Linked DNA regions of Nothobranchius furzeri. Each later gene encodes a partner of the first gene's protein in a complex. Links are inferred from orthologs where the notes say so. Each region holds a gene or a part of one and is shown in the gene's direction. Other genes may lie near its edges. The genes, in order: tbl1x, zer1, coro2aa, zyg11 and hdac3.

Region 1 (4,054 bases):
TAAATTGGCTATGATCAAAGACTAATGGATGCAGCCACCATGAAATTACCCATTGATTTGTGCACTGCTGTTTTGAGGTCTTGAGTTTGGATTTAGCTGTTGCAACAGTATGCTGCTGCAGCGTGGAGAAGCATGGAAAAAGATCTGAAAGAGCTCAATGTGGTTACAACTAAAGAGAATGAAAGCTTTGTAAATTATTTATTTATTGCTCTAGACTGTAAAATTCACTGCAAAACAAAAGGAGGCCATTTGAGGGCCTGTTTTGTTTTTGTGTTAATCAGTTTCTAGCTTGGCAAAACGACGTGTTCCCATTTATCTATTTTTGTGTTGTTTATTGGACTAATTTAGGATCTTTGCGACCATTTCATGGCGTTTTCATTGTGCATCGGCCTCCAAATAGTTTGCATGGTGAGCCCACTCAGTAATCTGCCCATGATTACACACTGTACCAAATCAAAATGCTGTCATTGTTTGCAAAATAAGTATTGCGCAGATTCTACAGTGTGTACGGTAACCAAAGGAATGTGTCACACTGATGTCAACTTGTTATTTACTTTCCAAATCTGAATGACTGAGCAAGGCGAAAGGAGAATTAATCAACCACTGTGTGACCAGGCAGGCGAAAAATAGCGTTGTGGGGGAAGGGAAGTGGCTTAAAGCAGGCCAGCATGCTGGAGTGTACTCAGCAGTGTGCTTAAACTACAAAACAACACACGAAAGCAATACAATAATATGTAGCAACTTGATACCATAAGCAATAGGAAATGTAGTTTACTGGTTAAATATAAACCCTAATTATAGAACTGAGTGATAAAAAATGCTATAGTTGCGTGTTTGCTTTACAAAACGAATGATTAAAGAAACACGTTATTATATCATGGCGTGTGGTGGCCCAGTTTAGCTAATTAAGTCAGTAATTAAAGAAAATTCCGTGTAGAGTATCCAGGTTTAAGGTCAAGCAGCCTTCACCCCACCTCCCCCCCTCTCGTGCGAGTCTCGCGCTGCTGAGTGTCTCTCTCCGCTCCCGGTTCTCAGTGAACGGTGAAACTCCACGGAACAGCCTGCGCCCCACAGCCACAGAAACTCGGGCTGGTTCCAACTTTTTTTTTTATTCCTCCTCTCGTGTCCGCCAGTTGTGACGGTGTCTGGGGCGAACACGCTCTGGTGGCACAGCAAAAATAAGCCGACAGTGAGTCATACTGCGCGGTCGGAACTTGAAATATGACGATAAGCAAGATGGGAGGAAAGTGTTTTCTCGCTTACTGAAGTTGGAGGTTCTCCTTGTGGAAGAGGAAGAGGTGGCGGCGGACACCACGAGTTCACTCTCACAGTAAGAAACGGTAAGCCCGGAGGCTCGAGGCGCGGCGATGCACTGTACCCGGACTGTTCCGTTCTCCCAGTTTGGGCTTTATTCGAAGCAGATAACGACTTTCAGAAATAGATGGATTATGGCGTAACCGGCTCGCGCTGACTCCACACGTGTGTTCCAATTCCTAATTGCGTCTTTTAATTTTCTCCTACATTGTTGCAAAGCCCAACTTTTTCTGCCACTTTTTTTAAATGCTCAAATTATGCAATGAGTCTTTGGAGTGCTTGACGAAATACACTTTTGATATGTTGTCCCTCTTTTCCAAGTAGTAGTTTCATCTATTTTGTCCACATTTGTAATAATGTCATCAACCAGCACATGCAGTTGCATATGTTGTTGTTTTAGGCTTCTATTTGAATGAAAGCATTTAAAATGGTCATGTTGAGTTAGGAAGCGCATGTGTGTGTGGGGGAAGGGAACGACTTGTGTTACTGTATAACTACAATGTTGAGCTGTACCTGTCAAGCTGCTGTAACAGTTTGGCCCAGACACGAGTTTATAACAAACCTGGCGTGATATAAAAGCGTATACATTAATAAAGTAATGGAGGAATGGACTTACACCTTTAAAATCAGGTCCAACATGGCCTTAAATTCTCAGTTTGCTAATTGAGGCATTAGCACAGTGTGTTGTTTGTTTTAACCGCACTATCCCAGTAATCCAAAATATAACTGCTTATTTAGTCATACACAAGGATGTGTTGTTGATTTCAAAAGTGGGGGGAAACAAATGGCTTGACTGGGGGGGGGGGGGGGGGGAGATCCAAACTGCCTTATGGCAGTGGAGGGGGGGTCCTCCCCAATAATGATCAATGTCTAATGTATTTTTTTTCACTTGACTATGTTCAGCCTTTTCTCAATAGTTGTGTGCAATATATGTGCAATATTGTATTGCACCTTTTCATTTTACATTTTTATGCAGTCAAAACCTGACCCAAGTGACCAATCAGCTGTCCATCTTTAGTAAGGAGACCCGTTGGTTTCCCATACATACGATTTAACAAACCACTAGTAATTAAAACTAGGGATGTCCCGATACAACTTTTTTACCTCCGATACAATACCGATATTGCAGCCTTCAGTATTGACCAATGCCGATATCAATCCGATCCGATATCAGCACCAATCATACTTATCTTTTACCTATTTCATGGTGTGGAATATATGAAAGGCTTAATCATGTGATATTACTCAATCGGAGAACAAGAGTATGAAAACTGTTGGTTGCAAAAATGTGAACCTTAACGGACTGCTTATATCGGAGATTTTTGGTGCAGTCCGATATAAACCGATAGTGTTTTTGGGCTGATAACGAATTACTTCCATTGCTAATTAAAATTCTACTTATATGCACCTGAAAGTAGTAGTGGAATTAACTATTTGTAGCACTTCCTGTTTGATGCATGATATTCATATTTATGCCAGAATGATCATGTGATGCAACATTGATGGTGATGTAAAGGTTTAGAAAAGTTTGTATCAACCACTTAAAAAAACTTATTAGAGGTGAATTCAACTCATTCTCAGGTTGGTTAGAATTATCTTGCGCAGGTAAGATATTGACTGTTCATAACATTTGTACATCACCTCAGTTTGAAAGATGTAAACTATCCCTTTAAAATGTTACACCATCCTCTTTGTTCTTACAATCGGGAGTAGCCAGGGGCATTTGTGAGGCATTTTGCCTAACTTATCTTTATTACCTTTGGCTAGTAACCTTTATTGTTTCTGTAAACACTCAAGCAATCAGCATCATGCTGCTTATTTACATATTACAGCAGTTCCTTCTTTTGTACCAGTGTTGTGTGGAGAATTTCATGTTTCCATTGGTTAGTTTTCAAAAGTGGGGTCTAACTAATTGCGTTGGTCATGCTCCATTTTGGACATCTTTTAGTTTTCTTGAATTGTGTTAACTGTACGCTGAGCACTACCATTCCTAAAGGACAACCAAATTGTATCGCCATGATTCATTCCTGTTGGTGACCTTTTTGTTTAGGAAGGCTTGAAATTGCACAGTGTACACCCATCTTATGTTAGTTTCTTTATGCTCAGTGGGTCTGAATTATGTTCCTAGCCTGCTTGAATGAGAGCAGATGAAATTTGTGGTTGAGATGACCCAGATGTCTGTCTGGGTGTCGTGTTTCAATCGCTGTCAGATGGAGCTGGAGCTGATAAATGTCTTCACTACTGCAGTCATTTGACACAGCTCTTGTGCATATAGTACCTTTTTCTACTGAAGACAAAAGGCCAATTTAGTTGGGGGGTTGTTGTTTTCTGTGGTGTACAGTTTAATATAAAAACATTGTCCAGCCTTACACAGTTTTAAAAAAAAGCCATTAAAATCTATTGATTGCAAGGAAGCAGAACTGAGCTGTATGGGAGTTTGTGTTAAAAGCAGAAAGCCAACTTCTGCGGAAAAGTAGGGCAAAGAAGTCCCCAAGAAAGCCTTTGTCAGTCTTGTGGTGCAACAATGCTCTGTTCTGAGCCATCCAAATATTTCTGTAGCAGTATTTATTTATGATAGGCCGTTGGGGGGAGGTGAGCCTTTCTCCACCCCCCTCAAAGAGGTGTGCAGTGTTCATGGGCAACCAGCCAACTGGCACATGAGTGGTTACTCTGAAATTACGCCCATACAAGTAGTGGCTGGTTGAAGGCCACAGTTATGCATTGCTTATATTTTTGATTT
Region 2 (4,114 bases), on another chromosome or scaffold:
CAGTGGTTGCTGAAACAGTTCGGCAGGCTCCATCTCTGGCAGTTTTTAAATCTCGTTTAAAGACCCACTTTTACACTTTGGCTTTTAGACAGTGACTCGTTTTAGTGTTTTATTGTATCATTGTTTTAATTGTGTTCTTAGTATTCATCATGGTTTATCTGCCTTTGATTGAGATTTTTATCCTCTGTTTTAGCTCCTTGTAATGATTGTGTTTTGTTTTAGCCTGTGCAGCACTTTGGGCAGCTCCCATGCTGCATTTTAAACGTGCTATATAAATAAACTATGCTATGCTATGCTAAACAGACCCACTGCGATCTGCATATAAACCATACCTGCAGCACCGGGCGCTGACTCACCTCGAGATGTGAAAGAACACTGTGAGAATCGTGTTCTTCTGCTTCTCAAGTGCCTTCAGCACCATCCAGCCGTGTCTACTGCAGCAGAAGATGAGGGGTGCAGGAGTGGAAGAACATCTGACTGCATGGACCATCAACTACCTCACCAACAGGCCACAGTACGCGAGGCTGCACAACTGTGCGTCTGAGGTGGTTGTGTGCAGTTCTGGAGCTCCACAGGGTACGATGCTCTCTCCCTTTCTCTTCACCTTCTACACTTCAGACCTCACCTACAACACCAGCAGCTGTCACCTCCAGAAGTTCTCTGATGACTCGGCCATTGTCGGCTGTGTGTCTGAGGGGAATGACCTGGAGTACAGGTCAGTCATCATGGACTTGGTGAACTGGTGTGAGGGTAACCACCTTCGCTTAAACACCAGTGAGACAAAGGAAATGACTGACTTCCAGAGAAGCACTCCTCCTCACTCACCAGTAAACATCCAGGGAGCAGACATGGAGATGGTGGATACCTTTAAGTACCCAGTGTTCACCTCACCAGCACCTCCTGAGGAGGCTGAGGTCCCTATCTATCTATCTATCTATCTATCTATCTATCTATCTATCTATCTATCTATCTATCTATCTATCTATCTATCTATCTATCTATCTATCTATCTATCTATCTATCTATCTATCTATCTATCTATCATATATCTATCTATCTATCTATCTATCTATCTATCTATCTATCTATCTATCTATCTATCTATCTATCTATCTATCTATCTATCTATCTATCTATCTATCTATCTATCTATCTATCTATCTATCTACCTTCTCTTTTATGTGCTGATAAAACTCGAGGCTGATTATTAAACCTTAAAACGCGTTCAGGTGTTCTCAGGTGTTTCCTTTGCGGTCTCACAGGTGAGCCGAGCTGGGCCGGAGCGCAGCGGTGCTGACAGCAGCAGGAAGTGGCAGCAGACGGAGAGGAGGTGGGAAGAGCAGAGGAAGGAGCAGCAGGAGAAGTAGAAGTGAGAGGAGGAGTCTGTTTGTTGACATCGGGACGAATCCGAAATCAGATGAGTGAGGACAGCCGATAACGCCTGGTTTTGTCCCCCTCAACGAGACACCTCCTCGGGGACAGCTCAGGTAAGGTTCCGTCTGAAGAACCGGGCGGGCTGACGCCGCTGACCCGGTACCAGCCACCGGGAGCCGGTGTTGTGGTACCGCTCAGCTCTCCGGTTCTGTTAGCCTTCTTGCTAGTATCACAGCGGGGAAAGTCACAGCTAGCATCAGGCTAGTTTGGACCTTAAAACGAACCGGTACCGGTTAATAAGGCCGAACTTTTAATAAGAAGTAGTTTCGCTGAGCGTGTGGACCGGAACTTATGGTTCGGTGTGATATTTCCAGTTTGTCAGCAGATTTAAAACCTTCACGGCGAATTCTTCCAAACAAGCAGCTAGCTGTAGCTCGTTAGCCCGCTAACTTGTCAACGGTCCGTCTCTTTCTGGGTCCACCTGTGTTCACACACAAAGACAGAACCGAACCGGGCCACCGGACCCAGGCTGCAGGTAACAGGTGAGAAGTGGTTGGGTTGGCTGCAGTGGTTGTAAAGTTTATCACTAATTATCCATCTGTTCTTGTTTCCCATCAAACTCGGTCATGTCACCTTCCCAGAGTGTTGCACTCGGTGTGTTTGATCTTAAGTCAACGTTAATAATTTAAGATATTATCAGTTTATTAAGTAAATAAGGTGATTATTGCAAGTGCACCTCTTCAGATTTACTGGGCCGATACCGATTTCTCATTGCTCTCCATCTGCCTGCAGATGTAGAATTATCTCTGACAACTAAAACCACGTAATCAGGTTAAAAGTCTCACTGGTTTAAATTCTGAAAGTGGAAATAAAAACATCTGTTATAGCTCATCGCACACATGGAGAGGAGCCAGTTGAGGTGGCTCGAGCACCTGATTAGGATGCCTCCTAGACGCCTCCCTGGTGAGGTTTTTAGAGTACGTCCAACCAGGAGGAGACACAAGGGAAGACCCAGGGCACGCTGGAGGGACTATGTCTCTCACCTGGCCAGGGAACGCCTTGGGACTCCCCCGGAGGAGCTGGCCCAAGTGGCTGGGGAGAGGGAAGTCTGGGCCTCCTTGCTTAGGCTGCTGGTCCCAGATCAGCGGCAGGAGACAAACTGGTGCCTAGCAATGAGAGTTCATGGACCCCATAACTGTGGTGCGTTCACTGACCTGTAAAAATCCCATCAGGTTTATTGGACTGGTTCTGATCAGCTGATGCTTTAGCTTGTCTCTAGCTCAAGTTAAATGCTTTAAAAACGGATCCAGTCCAGGCTTCTGGCCTAGATCATGTGTTCTGGGACAGGTTGGGTTGTGCTCCAGTCTCTGGACACATCAGAGGAATGTTTGTTATTCTAAACAACAACAACAACAATAAACATGTTCATGAAACTGCTGCTGTTGAGGGTTAGGGTTAGAAAATGATGATTTCTAGTTTCGGCGATTGGGTGTTCTTTCAGGTCCCCCTCCCCCGCTCCGTCCATCTTTAACCTGAGACCGGGATAAAGGGGCCAACATGGCCGCTAAAGCTGGAGACGACCCGGACAGCCTCATGGCTCTGGCGACGGTGTTCTGCCTCAGGAACCTGAGGAAGACCATGTGTTACCAAGGACTCAGGAACCGGCTGCTCTTGCGCTCCGACATCTTCCTGCCGAGTGAAATCTGTGACAAGCTGGTCAACACGTATGTAACAGATCACCCCCCCCCCCCCCCCCACACACACACACACCTGTAACCCACACCTCACACACTCGCCTGTCTTTTCTCCGTCTTCACCAGGTACGTGGAGCTGGTCCACACCGACAGTTACTTTGAACCAGAGGAGAGTTTCTTCCAGCTGTTCGCGGACCCTCGGAGCACTAGGCTGACCCGGGTTCAGCTGAGGGAGAACTTGGTTCTGGACCGAGACCTGGAGGCCATACGGAAACAGGTGGGGGTGTGATGTTGTGGCCTTTCTAGAGACAGAACCAAACGAGCAGAATAGTTTTCTGTTTGTTCTTTGAGATAAACCGGCGTCACATGATGCTGGGGCGGGGCTTATGTGTAGTTTTGGGGCCACATCCTGATGGACCGGTGAGGGGAACCTTCCCTTGGTTCAGAGATAAACGGGCTCTGTTCTTCCAGGACCTGATTGAACTCAGCCTCACCTGCTGCCACAGCCTGACGCCCCGCAGCCTGAAGACACTCACCTGTTTCCGGGAGACGTTGGTGTCTCTCTGCCTGTTCGGCTGCAGCCAGATCTTCTGTAAGAAAGTGGGACCTCCTCTGGCCTGTAACGAAGACAGCGAGGAAGAGGAGGAGGAGGACAGGTCTGCCTCCTGGCGGGTGTTAGATTTGGACTTTAGCTTCCAGGGCTTTAACCGCCTCAGGCTGCTGAACCTGGCGGGTCTACCTGAAGCAGTGAACGCTGAGCGTCTGCTCAAACCCCTCAGGTCCATCACCTCTCTGGATCTGTCCAACGTGAACTTACAGGGAGCGGCTTTCCTCTCCCAGTGGAGGGACAGGCTGGCATCTCTGGTTCTGTACAACGTGGAGCTGTCCGAGGAGCTGCTCTGCACCATACTGGAGCTGGTTAATCTCAGGTAAGGTGGGGTGGGCGGAGACTAATCTTCGTAGAGGGCATTCCTTGTTTTTCAAGCCATACTTCAGTTTTTTCCTAAAAATCCAGGAGCTTCTACGACACCGGGGTCTCACACAGG
Region 3 (3,602 bases), on another chromosome or scaffold:
TGGCACCCGACAGCTAACAACATCCTCTTCAGCACAGCTTACGACTACAAGGTGACACAAACCCCACCTGCACACCTGCGGCCCAATCTAGATTTGCTTCCAGCTTCTTTCTTAAATCACAAAATGAAGAGACTCTCAAACAGCTCCGGTGTGCTTTCACACACACAGCTGTGTTAAACGGCGTGAATTCCTTTGAGATATAAACAGAATGTGCTATTGTTGTGACCATTACAGCACGCCTCTAGATCCAGCTTCAGGCGTTAGCTTATTGACCAGAATGACATTATGGCTGATCATCTTCCTAGCATTGGTAATAAAAACGGACCATTAAGAGATATAATCTAGGTCGTAACCTTCCACGTTTTAAAAGTCTGGTTCAAACTTGTGTGTGTGTGTGTGTGTGTGTGTGTGTGTGTGTGTGTGCGTGTGCGTGCGTGCGTGCGTGTGTGTGTGTCCCTCCAGGTGATGATCTGGAACCTGGACTCTCCAGAGCAGGTGATGAAGAACCCGGTCCGGACCATCAGCCACCACACCGATGTGGTTCTGTCCATGTCCTTCAACACAGATGGCAGCCTCTTCGCCACCACCTGCAGGGACAGGAAGGTCCGGCTGATGGAGCCTCGCTCGGGGAACTTGCTGCAGGTATGCTACACATTAATGCGTGCAGTCATTGATCTTAGGTTGCTTCCACCTTTGAGTTCAGCTCAGGAGATCAGCACAAGCGTATCAGGAAGTAGCTTGTTTTTCATCCAGCTGAAGATTGAAACAAATTGTTTTTGTTTGCTAAAGGAAATCCAAACAGAGATAAATCTAGTGAGCTAATCATGGACTTTAGTTTTGCTAAATGAACTTATTGAACTTTAGAGTTTTTGGTCCGGTGTTGTAGGAGCCTCACAGCCGGGTGTTAGCTGGAGTCTCCATGGCTGCAGCACCGCGGCACTCATCCAGCACCACACAGCCAAAACTGACACCTTAGTCCTGGCCTGGATCACAGCGGGCTGCTCAGACCTCTGGGTCAGCAGCCACTGAAGCACACCCACTTTTAATTTAGTCCGCTGTCACTTTCTGTTGAACACTTTTGCTCAGAGACAATAAAACGCCGCAGCAGAAAAATAGATATTTTTATTTTATTTTAAACCTGTTGTGTGGAGATGTTTTCACAAAACAATCCATCATATTTACTTCAACCATCAGGTCTTTCAGATGGGAGACCTTCACTTTTTGTTGTCTTTTCTAACCCTTTTTTGCAGGAAGGTAACTGCAAAACACACAAAGCCAGTAAGGTGCTGATTCTTGGAAACATGAAGATGCTTTTGACGTCTGGCACCTCGCGCTACAACGATCGACAGATCGCTCTGTGGGATCAGGTGAGACCTGCTGCCCTTGGGCCCGTTTACAAATATTTATCTGTTCTGCTGCTCTGAGCTTGGGCATTTTCTGTAGATTATTCTTAAATACATCATGACAACTCAGACAAAACTGGCTTACTTCTGTTCTTGTGAAGAAATGTGGATTATGACTCGATTCTGCTCATCATTAGCTCCACGGGACCCCACGTTCCCTAAAGAGGACATCAGCTTCTTCTGCTATAATTCTGTTTGGACTCATTTATTATTTAGGGAGGCTGGATTTTATTTAAAATGTTTTATTTTGACTTGTTAAGAGACTTTTATTCTTAACTACTAGATATCCAAAAACAAAGATTTGTTTTTAAAGGGGACATACAATGCAAAACTCAGCTTTTGCATCCTTTTGTGCTGCCATGTGGGTCTTCACTGCCTCTATTACCACTCTAAACATGAAAGAAATCCATCCATACGTTCTTTGTCAGTGTTTGGTTTTAGGAATTATGTGCCTAAAATAAGCCAATTCAAAAAGTCCCCATTTGTGATATCACAAATTAGGATAGAACCGCCTTTCATGTGCAAGAGAGAGCTGCGGCCGGAGGAGCAGTGGCTCTCCCCAGAGCCCCCCTGGATATCAGAGATTCTCAGCTTTCAGCAGCCTGAGTGGGGGAGGGGGGAGCGTGTCCAGCTCCAGATTGTTTTCTTAAAGTGACAGAGCCCTGAAACGGCTCATTCTGGAAGGTACTGAAAATGCTAAGAATAAAACAACTGAAATAGCTTTATGTGAGAGGGATTTAAAGTTAAAGTCCCATTAGTTGTCACACACAGGTGTGTGTGCAAAATTTGTTCTCCGCATTTGACCCATCCCCTGGGGGAGCGGTGAGCAGCAGACACAGCCGCGCTCGGGAACCATTTGGTGGTTTAACCCCCCAATCCAACCCCTTAATGCTGAGTGTCAAGCAGGGAGGCATTGGGTCCCATTTTTTCAAAGTCTTTGGTATGACCCGACCAGGAATCGAACCCCTGATCTCCCAGTCTCAGGGCGGACACTCTACCACTAGACCACTGAGAAAAGATTTAGTGCAAAGAACGTTGGTTACGTATTATAACCCCAGATTCTATGAGTCTAGTCGCAGCCCTTAAGCTAGCTGCTATTGGAAGGATGATCTCAATTATTATTTTTCTTTGTAATTCTTATTTTCTGTTCTCTGTAATATACTTTGATTTTTAAAGTATCCTTGCTTGTTTTGTCTCCTTGTTTTAATTTACTGAACCCTGGTTTCATTGGTGATGAGATTTAGGCCCCCTCACCAGATACTGAAATCATTCCAGGTGTGTAGCTTCAGTGTGATGTGCAATGCTGCCATCTAGTGGACAGATAATAACTAAACCTCTCATCAGTTTACCTGAACTTGCCACAGTTTAAGATGAAATAAATTCAGAGTTGCACCTTTCCCCACGCAGCGCTCTGACCACACCCGGGAGTCTGCACTGTGAGGGGTGGGTGTGCATCGTGGGCGGGGGATTAAAGCAGAACATGGATTAGAGATGAAGCACTCAGTTTTAATTCAGCTCTTCTACAGCTGTGGATTAAAATGATTCAGTAGTTTCATATCAGGGGGATTTTCTTGTTTGTTGTGCATTTCATTTTTCGTAATCTTCGTGTGTGTTTGTAGGACGATCTGTCGGGGCCCTTGTTGCAGGAGAACCTGGATGGTTCCTCCGGGGTCATTTTCCCTTTCTACGACCCTGACACACACATGCTCTACCTAGCTGGCAAGGTAAATCCAAAACTGATTCATAATCCAAAATACTGCATCAGATCTTGTCTTCACAAGAGTTTCACTGTTTCACAGGGTGATGGAAACATCAGATATTATGAGATCAGCTCAGAAAAACCCTACATCCACTTTCTAACGGAGTATCGCTCACATGTACCTCAGAAAGGATTGGGTAAGGACCACACACATGGACGTAATTTTGGGGGGACAGGGGGGACATGTCCCCCCCACTTTTTCCAAAGTCAAATTTTGACCCCTGCACTTTTTAACCATCCAAAAACAATATTACGCTATATTAAATTGACACTGATTGAGCTCTAGGACCAAGCAGAAAACAACCGTTTGTGTTGAAGCCTGTTTCCCATCAGATAACTGTCCTCCAACCCCCCCCCCCCCCCCCCCCCCCGGGTCCCCCCCACTTCTAAAGTGAAAATTACGTCCATGACCACACACACACACACGTTTAAAAGTCTCA
Region 4 (3,339 bases), on another chromosome or scaffold:
AAGCCAACAGGATCTCCCTAAGGGTATAGAGCTGGTCCAGTGTTCCACAGCCAGGACGAAAACCACATTGCTCCTCCTGAATCTGAGGTTCAACAATCCGACGGACCCTCCTCTCCAGAACCCCTGAATAGATCTTACCAGGAAGGCTCAGGAGTGGGATCCCCCTGTAGGTGGAACACACCCTGCGGTCCCCCTTTTTAAATAAGGGGACCACCACCCCGGTCTGCCAGTCCAGTGGGACTGCTCCCGATGTCCACGTGGTATTGCAGAGCCGCATCAGCCAACACAGCCCCACAACATCCAGAGCCTTAAGGAACTCTGGGCGGATCTCATCCTCCCCTGGAGCCTTGCCACAGAGGAGCTTTTTAACCACCTCAGTGACCTCCGCACCAGAGATTTGAGAGCTTAACCTAAAGTCCCCAGACTCTGCTTCCTCACTGGAAGACGTGTGGGATTGAGGAGGTCTTCAAAGTATTCTGTCCACCGATCCACAACATCCTGAGTAGAGGTCAGCAGCACACCGTCCCCACTATAGATAGTGTTGGTAGCGCACCGCTTTCCCCCCCAAGGCGCCGGATGGTGGACCAGAATCTCCTCATAGCCGTACGGAAGTCTTGCTCCATGGTCTCACCGAACTCCTCCCATATCCGGTTTTTGCCTTGGCGACCACCCGAGCCGCGTTCCGCTTGGACTGCCGGTACCCGTCATCTGCCTCTGGAGTCCCACAGGCCAAAAAGACCTGATAGAACTCTTTCTTCAGCTTGACAGCATCCCTAACCGCCGGTGTCCACCAGCGGGTTCGGGGGTTGCCACCACGACAGGCACCGACGATCCTGCGACCAGAGCTCCGGTCGGCCGCCTCAACAATGGAGACATGGAACAGGGTCCATTCAGACTCAATGTCCCCCGCCTCCCCCAGAACATTTTGGAAGTTCTGTCAGAGGTGGGAATTGAAGAACCAGACACCTAAAAGAGTATAAATACCTTAAACTTGTACAAAAATGTGTTGTTGGTACACCTTCACTGGAAGATGGAAGTCTTAGAATATCATTTTAAACTGATTAATTAGGCCAATATCTTACAAGACTGTCAAACATTGGAGGCGCAAATTTGACAGAAAATCTACACATTTTCAGCTCGAACCCCACTGCAATGACACGCATGATGTTTTACACATGGCTGAGTGCATGGTGGCGCAGTGGTTAGCACTGTTGCCTCGCAGCACGAAGGTTGCAGGTTCGAAACTCTGCTGCGGCCTTTCTGCATGAAGTTGCGTGTTCTCCCCCATGCATGTGTGGGTTTCCTCCGGGTACTCCGGTTTCCCCCACAGATCACAACATGCCCTATAGGTTATAAATTGTAAGTCGCTTTGGATAAAAGCATCTGCCAAATAAATAAACATAAACATGAAAAGAATGAAAACTGTTTTGGAAATGTTCCAGTTGCAGTTTAGTCACCAAGTCTCACACTTCTCATCGATGCCAACCTAAAAGTGGTTTGAGGTAGTTTTCAGCTGCCCGTGTCAGTAAGAGAGAAGCTTTTGAACGTCTTTCAAGTTCGAGCAACATGGGATTGAGGCTTAGCAGCAACTCACATAATGAACATTTTCAGACCCTGTGGAAACTTCTCGTCAATGTTGTTTGCAATTTATCTCCAGCAGTTGCACTTCATCGAGACACAGGATTAACTAGGTGTGTGTGTGTGTGTGTGTGTGTGTGAATTTTACAGATGTGAATAATTTTCCTTTTTCTCATTAATACCTAATAAGTCCTAAACTGTGAAAAATTAGGAAACGTGTTAATGCCAACCATCTAATATGAACAACGATGTTCTGCTATGGAAAAGGGTCAAACCTTGATTTAGGGTGATTCTGATTGATGTATTTTTAGGTGAGTAAAGGTAAGTAAAATTTATTTACATAGTACCTGTCACGGAAAAGGATCAGAGAAAATCACATCACAATTAAAACATGATTAAAAGACAAAAATAAAAAATAAAAAGATAATTTAATACAAATTAAGATCACAAGCCAAATGATAAAACACAAAAGTTTAAGCAAAACCTTGTAGCTTTGTGTCAAAGTGGCAAGGTAACAGAAATGAATCCATTTCCTCATTCTATTCATTTTTTAGGTCTTTTAACCCTTTCTTTCCACTCCTGGAGTGTTTTCACACACCGGGTGTCCAATTATGGGCAGCCTGGGCCATGCAACATGTGTGCAGCAAAAATGGTAAGACACACACACACACACACACCTTTAAAACTAAACTAAACTTCCCCTGAGTCTTCCGCTTTACAGATGCTAATTGACCCAAACTGCGCTGCAGCTTCTCGTTACTGCAGCATGTTGTTGGAGGAGGGCGGCCTGCAGCAGCTTGAGCACGTTAATGCACACCCACAGACCCACAGAGACGTCAGGCTTCTGGCTGAAAGCATTCTGGAGAGCCTGCAGCGCCACAGAGCCCGCACCGGCCAGCCGGCGTGCACAAGCAGACACCCCCCCTCTCAGTAACACGTCCAAGGTAAAGGAAAGCGCATGTTGAGCCGGTGCACTCTCAGTGGTCTGATGTCCTCCATTCTTTTATGCCTCTTTTAGGTGACTATGCTCCCGACTAAGAAGAAGAGGACTTGATCCCACAACAGAGTGGAGAGTTGCACGTGCGTGTGCAGCTGTGATGCACATCCTGCACACAAGTGTGCATGAATTCCTAAAATCTCAAGAGGGTAAAAGACAGAGACATTGCAATACTTTGCACATGCTGAACCTATTTATTTCTTTTTGTCAAAGCAACAAAACATTTCTGTGTGCAAATCCTGTGATGAAACATTTATAAGCTGTCGGTCCGTTCCGCTCAGCTTGGAGTTTGTGTTTGTGCTCGCGTTTGTTAGGATGACTTTAGCAGCATGATGGTTTTATTTTTTTACCAAAAAGATGAAAATGCTCTGAGATCTGAGCAGAGGGTCAACTCCCCGCTGCACTAGAGGTACTCCCAAATGTATTGTCTGAATTGTTTGGTTACTTTTCAAATCTATGCATGACTCTGCTGTGAGCTCAAGCATGCTGGTCTGAATCTTTGTACTGTTGGTTTAGAAGGTGCCTGCTGGCTTGTTTATGGGTCAACGGTGCCACTTCTTAAAATGTTCCTTAATTAGACAAAATCTTTAACATCATTGAAAAAAAAGGGTCACCAGAGGTGTTAAATATTACAAATAAAATGATACAACTACAGTCGAGTTTAACAAACCCCAGAGCACAGTTTATTTACGTTTATGTGAATTTCTCTGATCAGATTTATCTACGGATAAACCAGCTAAGCAGAGAATGGGAAATCTGAATGT
Region 5 (3,602 bases), on another chromosome or scaffold:
GATGGCAGCTGACCCTTTTCACTCGGGTCACAGACTTTTTGAGCCGCTCCCCTCAGGCAGGAGGTTACGGTCCATCCGGACCAGAACCTCCTGCCATAAGAACAGCTTCTTTCCGTCTGCCGTTAGACTTGTGAATAGATTATAAATACACAGCCATGCTGGTCTTCTGCACTTGACACAACATCACGTTATCAGCCATGTTAACACTACCTGCCATTTTTTATAGCTGAAAGTTTCCTTCTATTTTTATTCTATTTTATTCTATTTTTAATCTTATTATTATTCATGTTATATGTAGCACATTAGTACCAAAGCAAGTTCCTAGTTTCTGAATTGTTTGTTCACTGACAATGGCAATAAACCTATTCTGATTCTGATTCTGACTCTGATTTACCGGTCGATCTATGTTCCTACCCTCACCTATGGTCATGAGCTTTGGGTATTGACCGAAAGAACAAGATCGCAGATACAAGCGGCAGAAATGAGTTTTTTCTGAAGAGTGGCTGGGCTCTCCCTTAGAGATAGGGTGAGTAGCTCGGCCATTCGGGAGGGGCTCAGAGTAGACTCGCTGCTCCTCCACATCGAGAGGCGCCAGTTGAGGTGGCTCGGGCATCTGGTCAGGATGCCTCCTGGACGCCTCCCTGGTGAGGTTTTCCAGGCACGTCCAACCTGGAGGAGACCTAAAGGTAGACCCAGGACACACTGGAGGGACTATGTCTCTCACCTGGCCAGGGAACGCCTTGGGATTCCCCCGGAGGAGCTGGCCCAAGTGGCTGGGGAGAGGGAAGTCTGGGCCTCTCACCTTAGGCTAGTGCCCCCGCGACTCGACTCCGGATAAGCGGATGAAAATGGATGGATGGTGTTCAAGTTATTTTTGTAAACATTGTAGAGTTTAGGGAATTGAGTGCTTAAGAGCTCAATATATATATTACCTCTACTTGTGACCAATAAGCTGTGATACTCTATCTAAATATAGAATATCAACCCTGCTTGGTCTTTGTGTGTTTATCAGGATTTATCTAGGATTCTTTATTTATTAAGGGATTGTACACACTTTGTTTTGATTCAGCAAAGAGTCAGGTTTATAAAAGTAAGAATTTATTTTACAAACAATTAAACATGACAAGTTAACTAACATTTGCTGTGAGTGGATGGAACTAGATGTGATGTATGAAACCTATGGGTGAATGTGGTGTTATCAGAACTTCTGGATCTAGGAAAGCTGAGTTCTGGATGTAAAAGAATTTGGGTTGCACTAAGCTATGTAGTTGATCATTATCAAAAAGCACATTAGATGCTATCTGTGTGTCTACTTCACCAATTCTGGAGACCCTCTTGGTGGGTCCGAAAATCAGAGAGGTCGGTTGACCTCTGGCGCCGAAGGGCTGTAGAATACCGTGGCACCGACTCTTCAGTCCAGAGTTGTCTCGGGTCATGACAGATGGATGGAACCGCGTGTCTGGGACTCTTAACCAGTGTTAATTTTGACAGGAAATTTTAATTTTATTTTAGTCTTAGTCGTTATAAAACGAACCGGTAAAACATCTGTGCGGGCTCGGGACTCGGATCATATCAGTGCAAACCAGACATTGTGAAAATTATAAACAACCAACAGCATGCTTCACTCTACTGGTCTAGTCCTGGTTTAGAGCGCACGTGTAGCGAGCGGCTGCGACCCAAAAAGTACCAGAACCGCTCACGGTGCATGCGCAATCATGCATCAACACTGCTCGCCCGCTATTTCCCTAATAACACACGTTATAGTCGTGAAAATACAGTACTTCCGAATTTTTATCCCAACATGACAGAGTTGGTACAGTTTTATTTGCCTGTATGTTACTTTTCGGGTCGTCACGTGTACAACATTTAAGTGGATTTACCTCGGAGAAAATGGCGAAGTGGCCATTCTGTAGATGCCTCTTCAGATTTGTTGTGTTCTTTCCTCGGAACGACAGTCCACACTCTCGGCATGTAGTTTTGGTAGCAATGTTATCATAAGAAAATTGACTCCACACATCTTCTCTTCTTTTTCGCCCAGCAGTTAACATTTTCCTCTACTCCTTCTTATGTCGTTGTTTTGTTATGTTGTTATGTTACGTTATGTTTTAAAGATGTACATTTAAAAAAAATACTACTGTTTTCACAGCAAAATTATTTTATCTGTACAGTTCTGTTTTGCACAAAGTAGATAGTAAAACTGAATGAAAGCATAAACATATTGTTTTATTCTTTATTTTTATTATAATTACTAAAGCACTATAATTAAAATAGTATGGAAATATTCTAGATCAGCATCATGAAGCAAATGTGTGGCCAAATTATATACAGTTAGTTTTCTGGAAAAGGAATGAAATGTCCCAGTGTGTGTATGCATGAGTTTTATATGCATGAAAAAATATTTGTAAATTAATTATGATTTATCATTGTACAGACATGCCTCGTAAGGAGAGGAGGCGGAAGCAGCGACAGAATGAGCTACTTGAGGCAGCTAAAGGCAGTGGGTCCCTCACCAGCTGGATAAAAAAAGAATACAGGTAAGTTGCATCACAGCAACAAGTGTAGAAACAATAATATACACAACTGCAATGTTTTGATGCCAGAAAATGTTTTTGTTAGCCTCTTGATCATGGATTAGGTGCAAGACCTGTTAAATGTGAATAACTACATACCGTAAATCCTCTAATACAGGCCCGGGCCTGTATTTGACTCAAGCTCATCAAGCTCCAGGCCTTTATTGGAAAGAGGGCCAGAATTAGAGGCAGGCCTCTATTTCTATTTGAGCAAAATGAACTAATGGTTCGCTGGAGTTTTTGACAATTAAAATTGTGCCCACATTTTCAAAGTTAAACACATTTCTTTTAACAACGGTAGTTTCTGCTTCAGCCCTCTCCCCCCTGCCCCTGCTTCAGCCCTCTCCCCCCTCCCCCTGCTTCAGCCCTCTCCCCCCTCCCCCTGCTTCAGCCATCTCCCCCCTCCCCCTGCTTCAGCCATCTCCCCCCTCCCCCTGCTTCAGCCCTCTCCCCCCTCCCCCTGCTTCAGCCCTCTCCCCCCTCCCCCTGCTTCAGCCATCTCCCCCCTCCCCCTGCTTCAGCCATCTCCCCCCTCCCCCTGCGCAGCGGCCGCAAACTCACTGATGCGCCTGCAGCCTCTCAGAGTTCCTGCTGCTCTAAACATTAAAATAATTATTTCATTTTCTGTTCCTCACTTCTGATTACCTTCAGTGGTGTCTGTTTGTTGCAACCAGCAGGTACAAACACTAACTTGTTTTTATTTGACTATTTTTCTGTCCTGCCTGTTTATTATCTTCCTGCATCTCCTCTCAATCCTAAAGAAAAACTGCTACCTGGGTTCATATATATTCACCTTATGAGTTACCTTTGAACTGCAGTTCTAAAAGATCTACCGACCGCAAAAACAGCGGAGTGCTCGCTGCTTGGTGGCAGCGTGATCGGTGCTTCACCGGATGACAAGGTGATGCGCCCCGCTCCACAGCGAAACGCATCAGGCGCAAATAAAAGACAGAAAACATTAAAGGAAATAAACCGACATGAACAATCGCGTGTTAAATTAGTTTTTGAGGTGGCGACACCTGATTTGATAAT

Evidence for each region.
Region 2: tbl1x (region 1) and zer1 share a complex: the UniProt entries of both Homo sapiens proteins name them as parts of the E3 ubiquitin ligase complex. The link is inferred for Nothobranchius furzeri from reciprocal best matches to the Homo sapiens genes TBL1X and ZER1.
Region 3: tbl1x (region 1) and coro2aa share a complex: the UniProt entries of both Homo sapiens proteins name them as parts of the N-Cor repressor complex. The link is inferred for Nothobranchius furzeri from reciprocal best matches to the Homo sapiens genes TBL1X and CORO2A.
Region 4: tbl1x (region 1) and zyg11 share a complex: the UniProt entries of both Homo sapiens proteins name them as parts of the E3 ubiquitin ligase complex. The link is inferred for Nothobranchius furzeri from reciprocal best matches to the Homo sapiens genes TBL1X and ZYG11B.
Region 5: tbl1x (region 1) and hdac3 share a complex: the UniProt entries of both Homo sapiens proteins name them as parts of the N-Cor repressor complex. The link is inferred for Nothobranchius furzeri from reciprocal best matches to the Homo sapiens genes TBL1X and HDAC3.

What each region holds. Positions count from the first base shown.
Region 1 is NC_091754.1:23,373,015-23,377,068, reverse strand, and holds the start of tbl1x (F-box-like/WD repeat-containing protein TBL1X), read left to right. Parts: upstream 1-1,199; 5' UTR 1,200-1,340; intron 1,341-4,054. UniProt on the Homo sapiens protein: F-box-like protein involved in the recruitment of the ubiquitin/19S proteasome complex to nuclear receptor-regulated transcription units. Plays an essential role in transcription activation mediated by nuclear receptors.
Region 2 is NC_091746.1:70,679,340-70,683,453, forward strand, and holds the start of zer1 (protein zer-1 homolog), read left to right. Parts: upstream 1-1,291; 5' UTR 1,292-1,487; intron 1,488-2,875; 5' UTR 2,876-2,931; coding exon 2,932-3,098; intron 3,099-3,194; coding exon 3,195-3,345; intron 3,346-3,539; coding exon 3,540-3,997; intron 3,998-4,114. UniProt on the Homo sapiens protein: Serves as substrate adapter subunit in the E3 ubiquitin ligase complex ZYG11B-CUL2-Elongin BC. Acts to target substrates bearing N-terminal degrons for proteasomal degradation with the first four residues of substrates being the key recognition elements.
Region 3 is NC_091744.1:13,219,281-13,222,882, forward strand, and holds part of coro2aa (coronin-2A), read left to right. Parts: coding exon 1-51; intron 52-462; coding exon 463-642; intron 643-1,250; coding exon 1,251-1,367; intron 1,368-3,022; coding exon 3,023-3,127; intron 3,128-3,202; coding exon 3,203-3,299; intron 3,300-3,602.
Region 4 is NC_091748.1:47,405,768-47,409,106, forward strand, and holds the end of zyg11 (protein zyg-11 homolog), read left to right. Parts: intron 1-2,132; coding exon 2,133-2,230; intron 2,231-2,327; coding exon 2,328-2,512; 3' UTR 2,513-2,522; intron 2,523-2,596; 3' UTR 2,597-2,813; downstream 2,814-3,339. UniProt on the Homo sapiens protein: Serves as substrate adapter subunit in the E3 ubiquitin ligase complex ZYG11B-CUL2-Elongin BC. Acts to target substrates bearing N-terminal degrons for proteasomal degradation with the first four residues of substrates being the key recognition elements.
Region 5 is NC_091741.1:31,111,208-31,114,809, forward strand, and holds part of hdac3 (histone deacetylase 3), read left to right. Parts: intron 1-2,431; 5' UTR 2,432-2,433; coding exon 2,434-2,534; intron 2,535-3,602. UniProt on the Homo sapiens protein: Histone deacetylase that catalyzes the deacetylation of lysine residues on the N-terminal part of the core histones (H2A, H2B, H3 and H4), and some other non-histone substrates.